2 linked regions of the Anolis sagrei genome follow. The protein of the gene in region 2 binds, or shares a complex with, the protein of the main gene of each other region. Links are inferred from orthologs where the notes say so. Each region holds a gene or a part of one and is shown on either strand. Other genes may lie near its edges.

Evidence for each region. Proteins that work in one complex are often made in the same cells at the same time.
Region 1: CNOT6 (region 2) and CNOT9 share a complex: the UniProt entries of both Homo sapiens proteins name them as parts of the CCR4-NOT complex. The link is inferred for Anolis sagrei from reciprocal best matches to the Homo sapiens genes CNOT6 and CNOT9.

Annotation. Positions count from the first base shown.
Region 1 is NC_090021.1:229,043,587-229,051,620, forward strand, and holds the start of CNOT9 (CCR4-NOT transcription complex subunit 9), read left to right. Parts: upstream 1-2,792; 5' UTR 2,793-2,858; coding exon 2,859-2,882; intron 2,883-7,416; coding exon 7,417-7,596; intron 7,597-7,939; coding exon 7,940-8,034. Other genes in the region: USP37 (ubiquitin carboxyl-terminal hydrolase 37), read right to left, coding at 2,382-2,717. UniProt on the Homo sapiens protein: Component of the CCR4-NOT complex which is one of the major cellular mRNA deadenylases and is linked to various cellular processes including bulk mRNA degradation, miRNA-mediated repression, translational repression during translational initiation and general transcription regulation.
Region 2 is NC_090022.1:87,482,817-87,490,850, reverse strand, and holds the start of CNOT6 (CCR4-NOT transcription complex subunit 6), read left to right. Parts: upstream 1-2,750; 5' UTR 2,751-2,850; intron 2,851-3,608; exon of another isoform or gene 3,609-3,726; intron 3,727-8,034. UniProt on the Homo sapiens protein: Poly(A) nuclease with 3'-5' RNase activity.

The DNA.
Region 1 (8,034 bases), on a different chromosome or scaffold from region 2:
AATACAATAATTAAAATGAAGAACAATTTTAACAAATATAATCTTATTAGTATTTCAATAGGAAGTGTGGGCCTGCTTTTGGCTGATGAGATAGGATTGTTGTTGTTGTTGTTGTTGTTGTTGTGTGCTTTCAAGTCATTTCAGACTTAAGTTGACCCTGAGCGAGGGCCGGGTAAAAGACCTTGGAGGGCCGCATCCGGCCCCCAGGCCTTAGTTTGAGGACCCCTGTACTAAATAATGCAATGCCTATTTAAGACTATGGTGCACCAATTTTTTGTGCTACTCTGGCCACGCTATAACTAAAAAGTCATACAATTTGTAAAGAACACTCAATACTATTTACAGCAAATTCCTACAAGATATGAAGAAACTTGAAAGCAATTTAGAAAACTAGTAAGTTGTTAACGTGTTCTCATCTACCTTGGAGCCAATGAAACATAAATTGAACAGATGGAGCCTCCACAGGTTAACCCACAAAGAAGTTTCACTTGCCTCATTTCTACATTTCAGTTTTCTGGATAGGAAACACTCACTTTTACAGAAACATGGCTGTGAGTGGATCTAGGAGTCAAAGCAAGGGAGAAGCTCACCCCACTCATCTCGGCAAAGCTTTACATGCCTGGCTAGGACTAAAGGGATGAAAGAAAGGCCAACAAGTGGGTGACTCCTAGACACTCTCTTGTCTCTCTGGTGGATCAGAGACAAAAACAAACAATGGGAGATAAGCAGGAAGGAAAGGAAGCGGAAATCAAGGGGTGCATCTACACTGTAGAATTCATACAGTTTGACACCACTTTAATTGCCATGGATCGATGCTATATTATCATGGAATTTGCTGAGGCACCAGCACTCTTGGCAGAGAAGGCTAAAGACCTTGTAAAAGGTAGGTAAAATGGTCTCAAACAACATTGATTCGGCAGTGTGGATGTAACCAAGGTCTGGACCAACAGCCCTGGAAACCTGAGCAGTGAGAAAGAGCATGGCTCAGGCTGAGGGCATGGGATGAAGAATGCCACAAACCAGGCCGAAGTTACCATGGAATAGAGGAGCAAAGGAAAGAAAGAAGAGGTGCACCTATACCAGGTATGGGCAAACTTGGGCCCTCTGGGTGTTTTGGACTTCAACTCCCATAATTCCTGGGAGTTGAAGTCCAAAACAGCCTGAGGGGCCAAATTTGCCCAAAGCTGACTTATACTGTAGAACAAATGCACTTTTGCACCACTTTAACCACCTTGGCTCAGGGCTATAATATTGAGGGGATATGATTTTTGGAAAGTCTTTAGACTTCTCTGCCAAAGAGGCTGCATGCCTCAGCAAACTAGAACTCCAAAATCCCACAGCATTGAGCCACTACTTATTTATTTATCATATTTGTATACCGCCCTTCTCAGTCCGAAGGCGACTCAGGGCGGTTCGTAGTTGGCAACATTTGATGCCTCAACAAATAAACAATCATAAAATACTGTTAAAAACATTCATATAAAATATAAAGTATAAAAACCATAGAAAGCCATAAAAACATTATCATGAGCATCTCCTTGTTAAAATTGTTATTTAGTTACTTCGTCAGGTCATTCCATGATTTTATATAATTACGCTGGATTAGCAAAAGCCTCCTCAAAAAGCCAGGTTTTAACCTTTCTTCGGAAAGTCAGGAGGGAGGGGGCCACTCTTATATCCCTGGGAAGGGTGTTCTGCAGTCGAGGGGCCACCACTGAGAAGGCCATGTCTCTTGTCCCTGCCAAATGCATCTGTGAGGGAGGCGGGGCCGAGAGCAGGGCCTCCCCAGATGATCTTAGTGACCTAGAAGGGTCATAAGGAGTTAGGTAAGCTGGTCCGGAACTGTTTAGGGCTTTATGGGCTAAATCCAGCATTTAAAGTGGTATCAAACTGCAGTAATTCAACAATATAGATCAGGCATGGGCAAAAGTCGTCCCTCCAGGTGTTTTGGACTTGGAACTCCCACAATTCCTAACAGCAGGTCAAAGTTTGCCCATGTATGGTATAGAAGATGGGCCCCAAGCGTGGAGCAATCACACTGGAAGGCAAGGCATGTCTGGGGCCGAAGGGAGGAAAGGAACCAGGCTCAGGCTGTTATGGGAGGCGTGAGCGAGGGAAGGAGGGAAGGATGAAGGGAACTTCTTTCCACCGCTTTAAACGCCCTGGCTCAATGCTATGGGATCCTGGGAGTTGTAGTTTGGTGAGGAAGGGGTAAGGAGGGAAGGGAGAGAGGGCGGGAGGAGAGGGCCCGGTGCCACCGAGCAGGCCTGCCCCTTCGCCCTCCCCGGCACTGAGGAGGCAAGAGTTCCCTCAGAGGGTGCGCCACGCTCCAGACAAGCCCACCACCACAGAGGATGATGGCGGCGGCGGCTTTCCTTCACCTTCTCCGCGAACCCGTCCGGGCTTGGCTCCGTCTCCAGGCCGCCTCTTCCTCCTCCTCCTCCCTGCCTCCGTTCGCGGACACCAGGCCCGCCTCGATCCCAGCCGGCCTGGCTTGCCTTCACGAAAAGGGCAGATGGCGGGAACCAGATCGGCCGCGCCACCGTCCTCCTGACGCCAGCACGCAACGTAAACACGCACGAGAGGGGGGCGGGACCGCGGACAGGACTGGATAGGGAGGCCCCTACGTCATCACGCCGACGGCCTGGAAATCGACTCCTGCCATTCCTGCGCATGCGCACTGTTTCCCTCTGTGGTTTCGAGTTCTGGCGACGCATGCGCCTTCTCGCTCTCCTCGGGCCCAACGCTTATGCCCGCCGAGAGGTCAGAGGTCGCGGCAGTGGCGACGGCGGCAGATCCATCATGGCGGCGCCTGAGGTAGAAGCGGCTTCCTGAGCTCCCGCGAAGGACTCCCGACCATGCACAGCTTGGCCACGACCGCGGTAAGGCCGGGCCGGGTTCGCGGGGCATGGTTTTCCTCGGCAGGGCGGTCAGGAAGCCCGCTGAGGGGCTGAGAAAGGTCTGGTTTCATTGGCCGGCGGAATGAGGGGAGGGGGCGGCAGAGGCTTGTTTTCCCGCCAAATTGCTCTCCTTCAGAAACGACGGGTCCTCCTTAGTTACTCGTGCAGCTCCCTTCCGCTTCCCTGAGAGAGGACCTTCGGCCCAAAGCGGCAGCAGCAGCAGCATGGCGGCAAAGAAGGCGCCTGCAAGGAGGCGGGGCCGGGAGCCTGTTTCCCCCCCCCCCCCCCCCCCCAATGCGCGGATTCATCGTTTATGGTGGCTGATGCGTAAAAAATGGCCCCGGAGTTGAACATAGAAGCATGAAAGTGGTAGTTTTACGAGGTCTCCAGCCTTCTCTGCCAAAGAGTGCTGCTGCCTCACCAAACTACAGCTCCCAGGATTCCTTAGTATGGAGGCAAGACAGTTCCAGGGGCATTCATTCTACAGTGTGGATTCGATTTATTTATTTACTATCATTATATTTCTACTCTGCTCTATCATACCCCGAAGTGGACTCGGCATACAGTTTTGGCAATTTCATTGCCACATTGCACAGATATATATATATATATATATATATATACACATATAACATCACATTAAGCATAAGATCATACATACACACACACAATTAAATGTATTCTCGAAGGCATTCATGACCAGTTAAAGCATGCGATGCAGTGTATTCTAGCATTCCAGAATAATATTTTCCCTAGCATGTGGCATTGGAATCCTGTTCCTAAGTGAGAGCAAATGCTGCAGAATGGAAGGAGGCTTATTTGAGCTTGTAAAGACCTTAAATCAGCAGCGCTCTAGCCAGAGGGGAGGGTTAGGGGTTAACACCCCCTCCCAAAATTTCAGGTTAAAAAAAGATGAATTTTAACTGGTTAACCAAATTCCCATGCTAAGTCTATGAGAAGCAAAAACTAAATGAGTGCCTCCAGAATTTCAAGCACTACTTCAAGCAAATTTTGACAATTTGTTTACACTCATAACTTGCAGCAGTAGCCACGATGGCTCACCCATAACTGGCAGGCAAAGCCTAATGTATTGAGTGCGGGTTGGATTTGAAGGCCCTCATGAAGGAGACCATACTTGGTGGGGACGGTTGACAGGGGCGGAGCTGCAGGCTATTGCTGTGTTCTTTGCTTCGGCATGAGGTAGGAGGCAGGTTCCTAATGGGGAATTAGGCCTTTCACTCGTTGCTTCCACCCTCCCCTTTTCCAGTTAGTAGGTTCCCATTGCTGCGCCTATATAGAGCTCGTTTTCAACTCTTAAACGTTTGAAAACATACATAAGAAAAACAGTGAGGCAAGAAAGACTGACTGGACTTGTACTCTTGAGTGTCCACTAAAGTTTATCAATGGAGCCTGCTTTCTATCAAAGTATATTGACATAGCTTTCAAGTGTTTCCAACAGACGCTATGATATTCTTTTGTAGCTATAAATTACCAATTAATAGTCATTTTCAGTTATTTTAAGACTTGAAACTCTGTAACTAAAATAGAAAACTGATTTAATTAAGTTTATATAAAATATAGAATGAACCATACTATTTAAATTATTTTGTGTTATGGAACTACTCTTCATGATTCGCTTAAAAAGGTTTCAACACCCACCCACCACCCACCCCCAATTTTCTGGCTATGGCCCTGTATATCATTCATGGGCAAACTCAAGCCCTCCGGACATTTTGGTTTCAACTCGCACAATTCCTAACAGCCTGTGGGAGTTGAAGTCCAAAACACCTGGAACGCTGAAGTCTGCTCATGCCCGAAAGAGTTAATTTAGTTTGACACCACTTTAACTGCTATATTTCAATCCTATGGAACTCTGGGAGTTATAGCTTTACAAGGTCTTTTATCCTCCTCTGTCAAAGAGTACTGGTGCCGCCCCAGTATAATTCTACAGTATAAATGTGCCCTAAAGCAAATTCTAAAGCATCAGTAGCATCACTCATAAGTTTTAAATTCTTTAGAAATAACCAGAGATGGAAATGATGCTTTAAAAAATATGGTAGTAGTGGTAAGAAAAGACAGCCAGAGATGCAGGAACCTTGTTCTCAAAGGTTACAGTTGGAAGTTCCCTCTCCAAAAACCAGAATTAAGGAGTCCACCTTAAGTCAGCTTTCCTTTACTATTTTGTATTTACTTCACTTTATTGCCATATTATACTCTCCCCCCCATCCTGTTGGATACTTCACATTGCATTTGTTTCTCCTTGTTGATTTGTGTTAGGTTCTAACAGGTTTTCTATCCTTACTTTTAGAAATTACCGTGTTTCAAATTTAGTGATTTTTAATATCTGTTGTTCAAGACATCATAAGACTTAAGAAATAAAACCAGAGAGATTCCTTTGCAGTTCAACTGTATTTGTAAGAAAGAAAAAGAAATAAATTCAGTTTGATTTATTTTCTGAATCAGCTCAATATCTGTATAGGTTGACTGGAGATATGAACTTAGAAAAACTTGTAAAAATGTGGGGGGACAATTTTTCAGGGAGCAGAATGAAACAAATATAAAACATTTTCGTATAGATCTATAAATATTCAAGACAACATGTTCATATATCTAATTTCTAAAAAATGTACATCCAGTAGACTTAGTTAAGAATATTTACAATAGTGCACTTTAGAGTGCAGTTCTAGAGACAGGTGTTAGTACACTAGCCATTGGCTATAAACCTGCAGTTAATTTCCAGGAAAGAAATACTTATAACTAATGGGCATAAATAGCATGCTGGTTGTTAGCCATTAGAAATAGAAACCTGGCTCTGCCACATTACATTAGCCTGAGAAGTATTGAAGTATAGTATCAAAAGATACTACTGTAAAAGTAGTGGTACGACACCATCTGTAAAAAGCCTTCCCAGGACCCTCTGGATTTTAACAACTATAGACCAGTATTGAATTTTCCTTCTTTGGGCAGGTGATTGACAGGGCTACTAACTTCAGATAGTCTTGGCTGACATTTCAAGCATTGGCATGGGGAGTGTATCCCTGTTGATGGTTTTGTTTGTTTTATGGACCTCTTAGTGGCATTCGATACCATCAACCATTATATCCTTTGGGAATGCCTGAGGGCTTTAGGAACAGAGGCACTGTGCTTCAGTGGTTTCAGTCTTGCCTCGTCATGCCTCTCACATAGGTTCCAGATGGTGGTGCTTGGGCACAGCTGATATTCGGGAAAGAAGCTCTTAAGTGGCACCCCACAAGGTGCCATTCGATCCCCAAAGCTGTAACGTACAAATAAAGCCACTAATAGAAATCATCAGAGACATAGGGCAGGGTTCTCTCTGTGTATTTATGGCACTTCTTTAAGCCTTCAAAAATAGCATTAATTAATCTTCTGAATGAATACCTTGAGGGGGCAGTGGGCTGTATGAGGGTTGGAGGGGAAGCAAGGCATCTCTTAACCAAGACATTTTCATCAGTGCCCCCAAATTGTAGAATGGCATGGTTTTTATTTTTGCTACTCATAAGAAATAAAACCAGGGAGATTCCTTTGCAGTTCAACTGTATTTGTAAGAAAGAAAAAGAAATAAATTCAGTTTGATTTATTTTCTGAATCAGCTCAATATCTGCTTTGAAAATAAAACTAAGAATGGATTTTATGTGAAAAAGGCAGTGAACTCATTTCCCTACTGGAAGTATTATTGATCTGTAGTAGTTCAACTGGAGGTTTATCTTGGAAAGTAGGTCACTGAAGTGCATGCAGGTAGGTGGCTCCATGTCTGAGTCACCAGGGTTTGTCTGCCTCAACCCTCAAATGCTCTTCCATCTAGCAGTGATTTGTGAACCTCACAACTTCGTTAGAAACAAAAAATAAAACGTGACCTTTTGTTGTCGGCTGGTCATTATTAACAAAGGTTCTGTTAATGTTTAAGTGAAGCAACTAAAAGTTCTTGAACTGGATCTCTCTTGCGGTCTTTTCCAACTCTGTGATTCTAAGCAAAGGTTTTCTTGAATTGGATGTCCCGAGTCTCTGAGGTGCCTAAGGTATTGAAGTAAGAGGATGTACAAAACTCGGACAAAGTGACTTTTGATCTTGGCCCAGGAGGGCCCTGAAAGCATCCCAGGATAAGCATATATCACATTGTCATGTGAAATGAGAATCTCAAGGCCACGAGGGGACTTACTTCCCATATGTATACACTAGAACTGCACAAGCAGAATTTTCATTTGGCAACTGAATTAATTCCCTTCCAGAAGTCTATGTTAATCTGCTTTCATCTTCTCTCTGTTTCAAGGATACAATCCTGTGCATACTGATGTTAAAGTTAGCTTCATTAAAGTAATTGAGAATTAAATCTCATCCATATTTACTTGGAATTGTTTGCTTCTTGCTCATCTCATTTTTTGTTTTTGTTTTTTGTTTGTTTGTTTTGGTTAAGTCCTTTTAATTATTTGTCATTGTGATTCGACGGGAAGAAGAAGAAAAAGAGACCCTTGCTTATATCATTTCTGTCTCTTTATAGCCTGTGCCAACGGCACTTGCTCAGGTTGATCGAGAGAAAATATATCAATGGATCAATGAGCTGTCTAGCCCTGAAACCCGTGAAAATGCACTGCTGGAGCTGAGCAAAAAGCGAGAGTCTGTCCCTGATCTTGCCCCAATGCTATGGCACTCCTTTGGAACAATAGCCGCTCTCTTACAGGTAGGTGGGACATCTCTTTTCTAGAAATAACCAGAATTATTTCCTTAGTCTAGAATATCCACATGTAAAACTGGAGCCTTAAGGACTTGGGAAGTATTAACAATAAGCATGGGCTAACCCAATTGGGTGCGACTTGCAAGGCATCTCTATATTTTGGTTCCTCTACTAAATTCTTTTAACTTTGTGACAGTCCCTGTGTAGTTAATACATGGAGAGAAATTCTGAGAGTGAATTACTTAGTATAAGTAATTAGCAGGAATATTTGGCAACTCTTTCAAGCATTGGAATGCTTAAGTATGGTAACGTTTTTGTACAAATATGTTTTGCTTCCTCTTTTCTGTAGGAAATCGTAAATATTTACCCATCTATAAATCCACCAACTTTGACAGCTCACCAATCCAACAGAGTCTGCAATGCTTTGGCACTTCTGCAGTGTGT
Region 2 (8,034 bases):
TCCATATCCAGATTTTGGTATACATGGAGGTTCTGAAATAAAACCCCAGAGATAGTAAGAGCCCACTGCAATTGTCAGATCTCCATGGCTTGCTAATCACTCCTTTTTTTTCTCCAACCCTTCCCAGGAACCACCCACACCTTCCAAGAGTAGACCTCTGTATCCTATCCACACTTGCATGGAAGTAAATCCATTGGTCCTGGAGGAGCCTACTGCCAGTTTCACCACTACCTGATCATACACACATCTACTCTGAAGCAATTCCCACTGATTCTTCTCCCACTCCAGGTGCATTAATTTATAAGTCACAGCCTGGGCCTTTAGGCAGAATAAAGATGCACCTGCAGTGTAAAATTAATGCAGTTTGACACCATTTTAACCGCCATAGGTGTTTTTTTGTGTGTGTGGGGAGTGACTTGAGAAACTGCAAGTAGCTTCTGGTGTGAGAACTGGCCATCTGCAAGGCTGTTGCCCAGGGGACACCCGGATGTTTTACCATCCAATGGGAGGCTTCTCTCATGTCCCCGCATGAGAAGCTGAAGCTGACAAGGGTTTAACCCACGGTGCCACCGGGGGCTCCATAGGTGAATACTATGCCATAGGTGAAGGCTATAGAATCATGGGAGATTTAGTTTTACAAGTGCTTTGGCCTTTTCTGCCAAAGAATCTGGGGCTTCACCAAACAACAGCTCCCTGGATTCCATAGCATCATCCATGACAGTTAAAGCAGTGTCAAACTGCATTATTTCCATAATATCGAATAGATGCATTCCAAAAGATGCTTGTAACCTCCCCCCTACTCCACCCACCCAACAAATCAGGAGGCACAACCCTGTCAGTCTGGAAAATGAGTCTGCAAAGGGCTCTTGTAGTACCTTTAAGACTAAGGCTGGATCTACACTACAATATAATCCACATTGTCTGCTTTGAACTGGATTATATAGGGGTCCTTCCATCCTGCCCCTTTATCCCAGGATCTGATCCCAGATTATCTGATTATCTCAGGATACCTGGCAGCGGGGACTCGTATATTCCAGTTTAAAGCAGATAATCTGAGATCAGATCCGGGGATAAGGGCAGTGTGAAAGGGCCATAAATCTTCACTGCCATGTAATCCAGTTCAAATCAGATAATTATCTCCACTTTAAAAGCAAATGTTTCAAATCCTCTCGCATCAGACAGTAGGGTAAAGTTTCCTATTGTTGTCTTACTGCACTGCCCCAAAGGCCTGGTCCCACAGCCAAGTTTTTACCATCTTTCTGAAGGACAGGAGGGAGGGGGCTGATCTAATCTCACCAGGGAGAGATTTTCATAGCCGAGGGGCAATCACTGAGAAGGCCCTCTCTCTCTCTTGTCCCCACCAATCTCAACAGTGACAGGACCCAGAGCAGGCCCTCCCTGGAAGATCTTAGTCTCCGGATGGTTCACAGAGGGAGAAAATCCCACAATATCTGCTTTGAACTGGGTTATCTGAATCCACACTGCCATAAATTCCAGTTTAAAGCAGAAAATGTGGGATTTTATACAGCTGCGTGGCATTGGTCTCAGATAACCCAGTTCAAAGGAGATAGATACTGTGAGATTTTTGCCTTGATATTCTGGGTTATAGGGCTGTGTGGAAGGTCCCTTATTCTCTATACCAGGCATGGACAAACTTGGGCCTTTTTCCAGGTGTTTTGGACTCCCAGCTTCCACAATCCCTAACAGTGGCTGTTAGGAATTATGGGTGAAGTCCAAAACACCTGGAAAAAGGCCCAAGTTTGCCCATGCCTGGCTGTTAGTGATTGTGGAAATGGGAGTCCAAAAGACCTGGTGGGAGGGCCCAAATTTGCTCAGGCCTGTGCCACACTGTAGAATGGCGCCACTTTCACCAAAATGACTCAGTGCTACGGACTTTTGGACTTCCAATTCTCACAATCCCTAACAGTCTATGGAATTATGGGAGTTGAAGTCCAAAACACCTGGAAAAAGGCCCAAGTTTGCCCATGCCTGGCTGTTAGTGATTGTGGAAATTGGGAGTCCAAAAGACCTGGCGGGAGGGGCCCAAGTTTGCTCAGGCCTGTGCCACACTGTAGAATGGCGTCACTTTCACCGAAATGACTCAATGCTATGGAGAACGGAGAGTTGCAGTTTGACAAACACTGCCGGTGCCTCACCGAACTGCAACTCCAGAGCATTGAGCCACGGGCCAGGCGGCATCCATGCCCCTTTTACCAGAGGTCATACTTACTTACCTACTTTACTTAGGCAATCCCTCGTTGGACAAGTAGGATAGTCTTCCAGGATCAATATTCTTGTGACTGTGGAGCCCTATTCTTGACCTGTACCTTCTCCCTCAGTGAGGGCATTGGTTTCCAGGTGGAAGGCAGTCTTGGTCGGGGTTGGCTTGATGCATCCTCCTCTTGGAACGTTTCTGTCTTTCACCCTCCATTTGTGCCTCTTTAAATTCTGCAGCACTGCTGGTCACAGCTGACCTCCAGCTGGAGCGCTCAAGGGCCAGGGCTTCCCAGCTCTCAGTGTCTATGCCAGAATTTTTAAGGTTGGCTTTGTGGCCGAAGCCTACCGGACTCACCACGCGTGGCCTTTCCTCCGGACCTCCCAGCGACCCCAAACGCCGCCATCTTCAGGCCCAACCGCTTCCTTCGGCGGAGGACCCTGAAGCCTGCCTGCCTGCCTGCCTACCGCCGCCATGATGCTTATTTGCTTCCCATGAGCGGGAGGCGGAGGAAGAAGAGGAGGCGGAGGCGGCGGCAGCAGCGGTGGGGGGAGCCTGTTCTCCCGTCCGGCCCGCGGCAGGAAACAAAGAGCCAGGCAGGCAGCGGAGACGAGACGGGGATGCGGCAGCCACAGGTACGGAGCGAGGAGGACGAGAAGGGGGCGGATGGAGGGAGCAGGAACTAGGGGAGATGAGAAAAAGCTCTCTCCTCTCTGAGGGACGGTTGGTCGGAGGACGAGGAGGAGGACGGGGGCGCCTCTGAGGAGGCCCTGAGGGAGATGAAGCGCCCCTGAGGGGGAAACGAGAGCGTGGGCGTCACCTCCTTCTCAGGGAAGGAAGAAAGGAGAACCTAAACCAGTCAGGCGGCAAGATGGAGAAGCCTGAGCCAGGCCTCAGGGTGGCTTGGTTGCTTTCTTGGCACAAAAGGCCCGCTTCTGTTAGGGTGAAGGCCATTGGGCCTACGAAGAGGAGCTCACACACACATATATATCAGGGCCTGGGCGAACTTGGGCCTTCCTGCAGGTGTTTTGGACTACAACTCCCACAATTCCTCACGGCCTCAGGCCCTTTCCTTTGCCCCCTCAGCCGCTTAAGCCGCTTAAGCGGCTGAGGGGGCAAAGGAAAGGGCCTGAGGCCGTGAGGAATTGTGGGAGTTGTAGTCCAAAACACCTGGAGGGAAGGCCCAAGTTCGCCCAGGCCCTGATAGGCGTTTGTTGTTGTTGTTGTGTTGTGGTAGTGGCGCGTGGGCCTAGCTGCGGCTGAGCCTTCCTGGAAGCCGCGGCGAGGCTCCGAAGGAAGTGACGTCCTCGGTCCTAAGTGCTTGTTGACAAGAGCCGGGCTTGAGGGGGGCGGGAGAGGGGGCGAGGAGGCGGAAGGCAGGCAGGCAAGAGCAAGGCAGGCAGGCAGGCCGGCTCGGATCCCTGCCCTGGGAGCCTGCGGACCCACCCGCCCTGGAGCCCAGAGCCTCTCCTTTCCCCCGAAGCCCCTCCGAAGGAAGCCCGAGGTCTCAGGTATCGCCTCATCTGGAAAAGAAAGGAAACTTGCGCCAGGCAGCTGCTTCTCTTTTCCCTTCCTTTCCCTCCCATTCCCTCCCTCCTCCCCCATTGCCTCGATTTCAGTAAGCTTTGTTGTCATTGCTCTGCACAAAAGCCCTTGCTCCCTTCCTTCCTTCCTTGCTTGCTTCCTCCGTGGGAAAACAAAAAACCTGTATTTCGTGATGGGAGTCAAGCTTAGCCTAGGCTGCTGCTGCTGCTCGCAGGCCCAGCCACAATAGGCAGCCTGTGTCTGAAATAGAAAGGCAAGAGCGTTAGCTGAGGGGGTGATTGGCAGCCCTGCTGGCCAATGGAAAAGGAGATAGGGGGCAGGGATGTATGCCGTGCAGGTAGGTGGCTGGGCCACAGAGGCTGGGGGACACGCACAGATAGGGGTAAACAGGAGGATTAGGAGGCAGAGCTCTGCGGGCTAGGTACAAAAGCAAGTCTGTTCGGTATGTTTTTGCATAAAGGATAGCATTAAGCTGCTAAAGCTTTGCTAGCCATTCAGAATAAAGGGGAGACTTTATAGCATATATATTGTAAGTATATGCTTACAATATGCTTATAGGGGGTTGGACTGGATGGCCCATGAGGTCTCTTCCAACTCTTTGATTCTATGATTCTAAGTTTCAAGGTTCTCAAAAAATTCTTAATCAGCTATGTTTATTGAAGTTATGTGTGTGTTTTAATGTGAGTTATCAATAAAAGGTATTCTTTATTATATTTATACCCTGCTTTATCTCCCCAGAAGGGGACTCAAAGCAGCTTAGCATAATAATAATAATATATATAAATAAAAATGTAATCAGGCACATCAAATCACTCTCAACAAAAGATTCCAAGGGAACTCAAAGCAGCTTAGCATAATAATAATATATATAAATAAAAATGTAATCAGGCACATCAAATCACTCTCAACAAAAGATTCCTCCCAGACACTTCCAAGCCATTAAATGCTAATCAAGGTGGTCAGTTGAAACATTCACACCTAGTTCCAGCAGACAAAAGTTCTTTGTCTCACCCTGGTCATTCCACAGATATATAAACCCATTTTCCTACTTCCAACAGACCTCACTACCTCTGAGGATGCTTGCCATAGATGCAGGCGAAACGTCAGGAGAAAATGCCTCTAGAACATGGCCATATAGCCTGGAAAAACCTACAACAACCCAATGTAATGTTAGTTTGTGGGATTAACATAACTCAAAAACCACTGGGCGAATTGACACCAAATTTGGATGCAAGTCACCTATCAGGACAACAAGTGAGCATCACATATAAAACACTGAAAAACGCAGCAGAAGAGACTTAAAAAGCCAAAAAAACAAAACAAAAATACATTACAACGCACGCATAAAACCACACATATATATGCAAACATACATATGCACAAACATACACACACACATACACACAAAACACATATAGACAGACTGGGTCACGGCAACGCGTAGCAGGGGACAGCTAATAATAATAATAATCCGGCATATAGCTCTTGTTTGCTGTGACACACTGTGATTTTGTGTCAGTAAAATATAATAATAATAATTGACAATAAACATTGACAAAATCGCAATCTCTCAACTGCAAAAGGCCACCTTACTTGGATCTGCGCGCATCATTTGAAAATACATCACAAAGTCCTAGACGCTTAGGAAGCATTCAACTTGTGATTTGTGATACGAAATCCAGCATATAGATTTCATTTGCTGTGACATACTGTGTTATTGTGTCAGTAAAATAATAATAATAATAATGCACACATTATTCGCCAATACATCACACAGTCCTAGACACTTGGGAAGTGTCTGACGTGTGATCAAATACAAAAGCCAGCATACTGATCTTGTGCTGTGTACTTATCTTGTTATGTATTAAATAATAATAAAATGAGGATTTAAATATCGAACTGCAAAGACTCTGGCCCAAGCCAGTAAAGGAGGTCCCAGTGGTGATCGGCACACTGGGTGCAGTGCGTAAAGAGCTTGGCCTGCACTTAAAAACAATAGGCGCTGACAAAATTATCATCTGTCAGCTGCAAAAGGCCACCCTACTTATATCATCATGTATTATTCACTAATATATCACACAGTCCTAGACACTTGGGAAGTGTCCGACGTGTGATCAAATACAAAAGCCAACATTTGCTGTATACTGATCATCTTATGTATCAAATATTAATAACAATATGAGGATTTGAAGATCAAACTGCAAAGACTCTGGCACAAGCCAGTAAAGGTAGTCCCAGTAGTGACCAGCACACTGGGTACAGTGCCTAAAGACGTTGGCCTGGACTTAAAAACCATTGGCGCTGACAAAATCACCATCTGTCATCTGCAAAAGGCCACTCTACTTGGATCAGCACACATTATTCGCCGATACATCACATAGTCCTAGACACTTGGGAAGTGTCCAACGTGTGATCCAGTAGAACAGCCAGCACAGTGATCCTGTTTGTTGTGTACTAATCTTTTTGTGTATCAAGTAATAATAATAATAACAACAAAAACAACAACTTTATTTGTATCCTGCCCCTCTCAGGGATTCAGGGGGGCTTACAACAAAAATACAATACACATAGTAATAATAGCAATTGAAACAACACAAAAAACATAGAAGCATCAGCACAGCCATTTAGAATATACAAATACATGAATATTAAAACAGGATTAAATATAAATAGTATTTTTAAAATCACAGTTAAAAAACATTAAAACACATTCGAAGTAAAAATTTATTGAAAAATTGGCTATGGGCCATACCATAAAATTAAAAATATTATATGGGAAACGAGTGCTAACAGTGTAGACTTAGAATTATTTTTGACTAACCAATCTTTTGTCCGTTATATCTATTCATAAAAGTGCTTTTTTAAAATATAAAAATTATTTACAATTTTCTTTCTTTTCTTTTCTTTTTTTGACGCAAAACAAGGGAGAAACAGTGGATTCCATTATTTGGAACAAAATGCTGTAATATCTTAGTACTTTCGGGACTTTCAGAATTTTCTAAATAAGATTGTGAAAAGAATATTATTGAGAACTAGACAAAAATAAGGTATTCACCTAATTATGTTTAACAAATTCATCCCAGAGAAAATATTTGAATTGTGTTCCAAACAGTTAAAGGTTTCTGCAGATTTACATGTGTCTTGGGCTATTTTCCTATATGTATTTTATATGTAATAGTAACAGATATAACATTCAAAGGGATTAAAGAATACCTATAGTGATTATTTGGTTCAAATATGAAGGTTTGCATGTATTGACTGCCAATGTTATTGTATCTTGCATTTTTTAATCCGTTAGAAGTTCCCAGAATTATATCACAATTTTTGTTGGGGTAATTTTACTTGTTCTAGGCTCTAGAGGTGCTGCTAGGAATGAAGTCTCCTCTGTGAGGTTTATTCACACTGTTGCTGAAATGGGCCCAGCTGCATATAAATTAAAACTGTATCCCCCTTTTCACCTAAACCATTGGATAAATTCATTTTTTCTAAGGAGACAAATGTACATCACTTTCATGTGAACTCCTGAGTACAGTCTTGATAAGTTCAAGCTATATGGGGTGTTTGAATAATTGAGGAAGAACTGAAATATAAAAATAAATGCATGGACTAGTATATATTTTTAGTATTTTCACACCTCCATTTTCATCATTATATTCTCTGGATTGATGAACTATATTTTTAGTAAACATATTGTAATGGTAGCTAAAAATGCCAATGTTGCCTTCATCCTGTGAAAAAACAATGCTTGTCATCGGGGTTGGGAAGAACTTCTCTAAAAGCACTGTTTTGATGTTCATATACTACAAAGAATGAGACAGTTCAGGATGTGGGTTGTGATAGCATGCTCCAGCTAGTATTTGTGCCCAGAGTTGTTGTCTGCTTATTCTGATTTTTGTTTTTCAAAAACTAGGCTCAGTGGTTTCAGTTTTTGTGTACAAAATTGACACCCAATTCATAAACACAGATAGATAAAAGATTTCTCATTGTGATCCTGTATATGTGTTGTTTTGCCATATGGCAAGAACATTGATAGTAGGCAACAGTAAATCAACAAGTATATTTTATGCCTTTATGCCATTCATACTGGACCAGTCTTGTAAATTAGTCCTCAAAGTTATTTACCTATAAAAAGCTCAACTTGTCTGTTTTTAAACTCATAATTGGAGCTGATGGAGGATACACGAATCATTCTGTTTCTTCGTTGCCAGCCCCTCTTGAGAAGTAGACAAGTAAAAGCAAAGCCCTATTGTTTGTTGCTGAACACACAGGGAGAA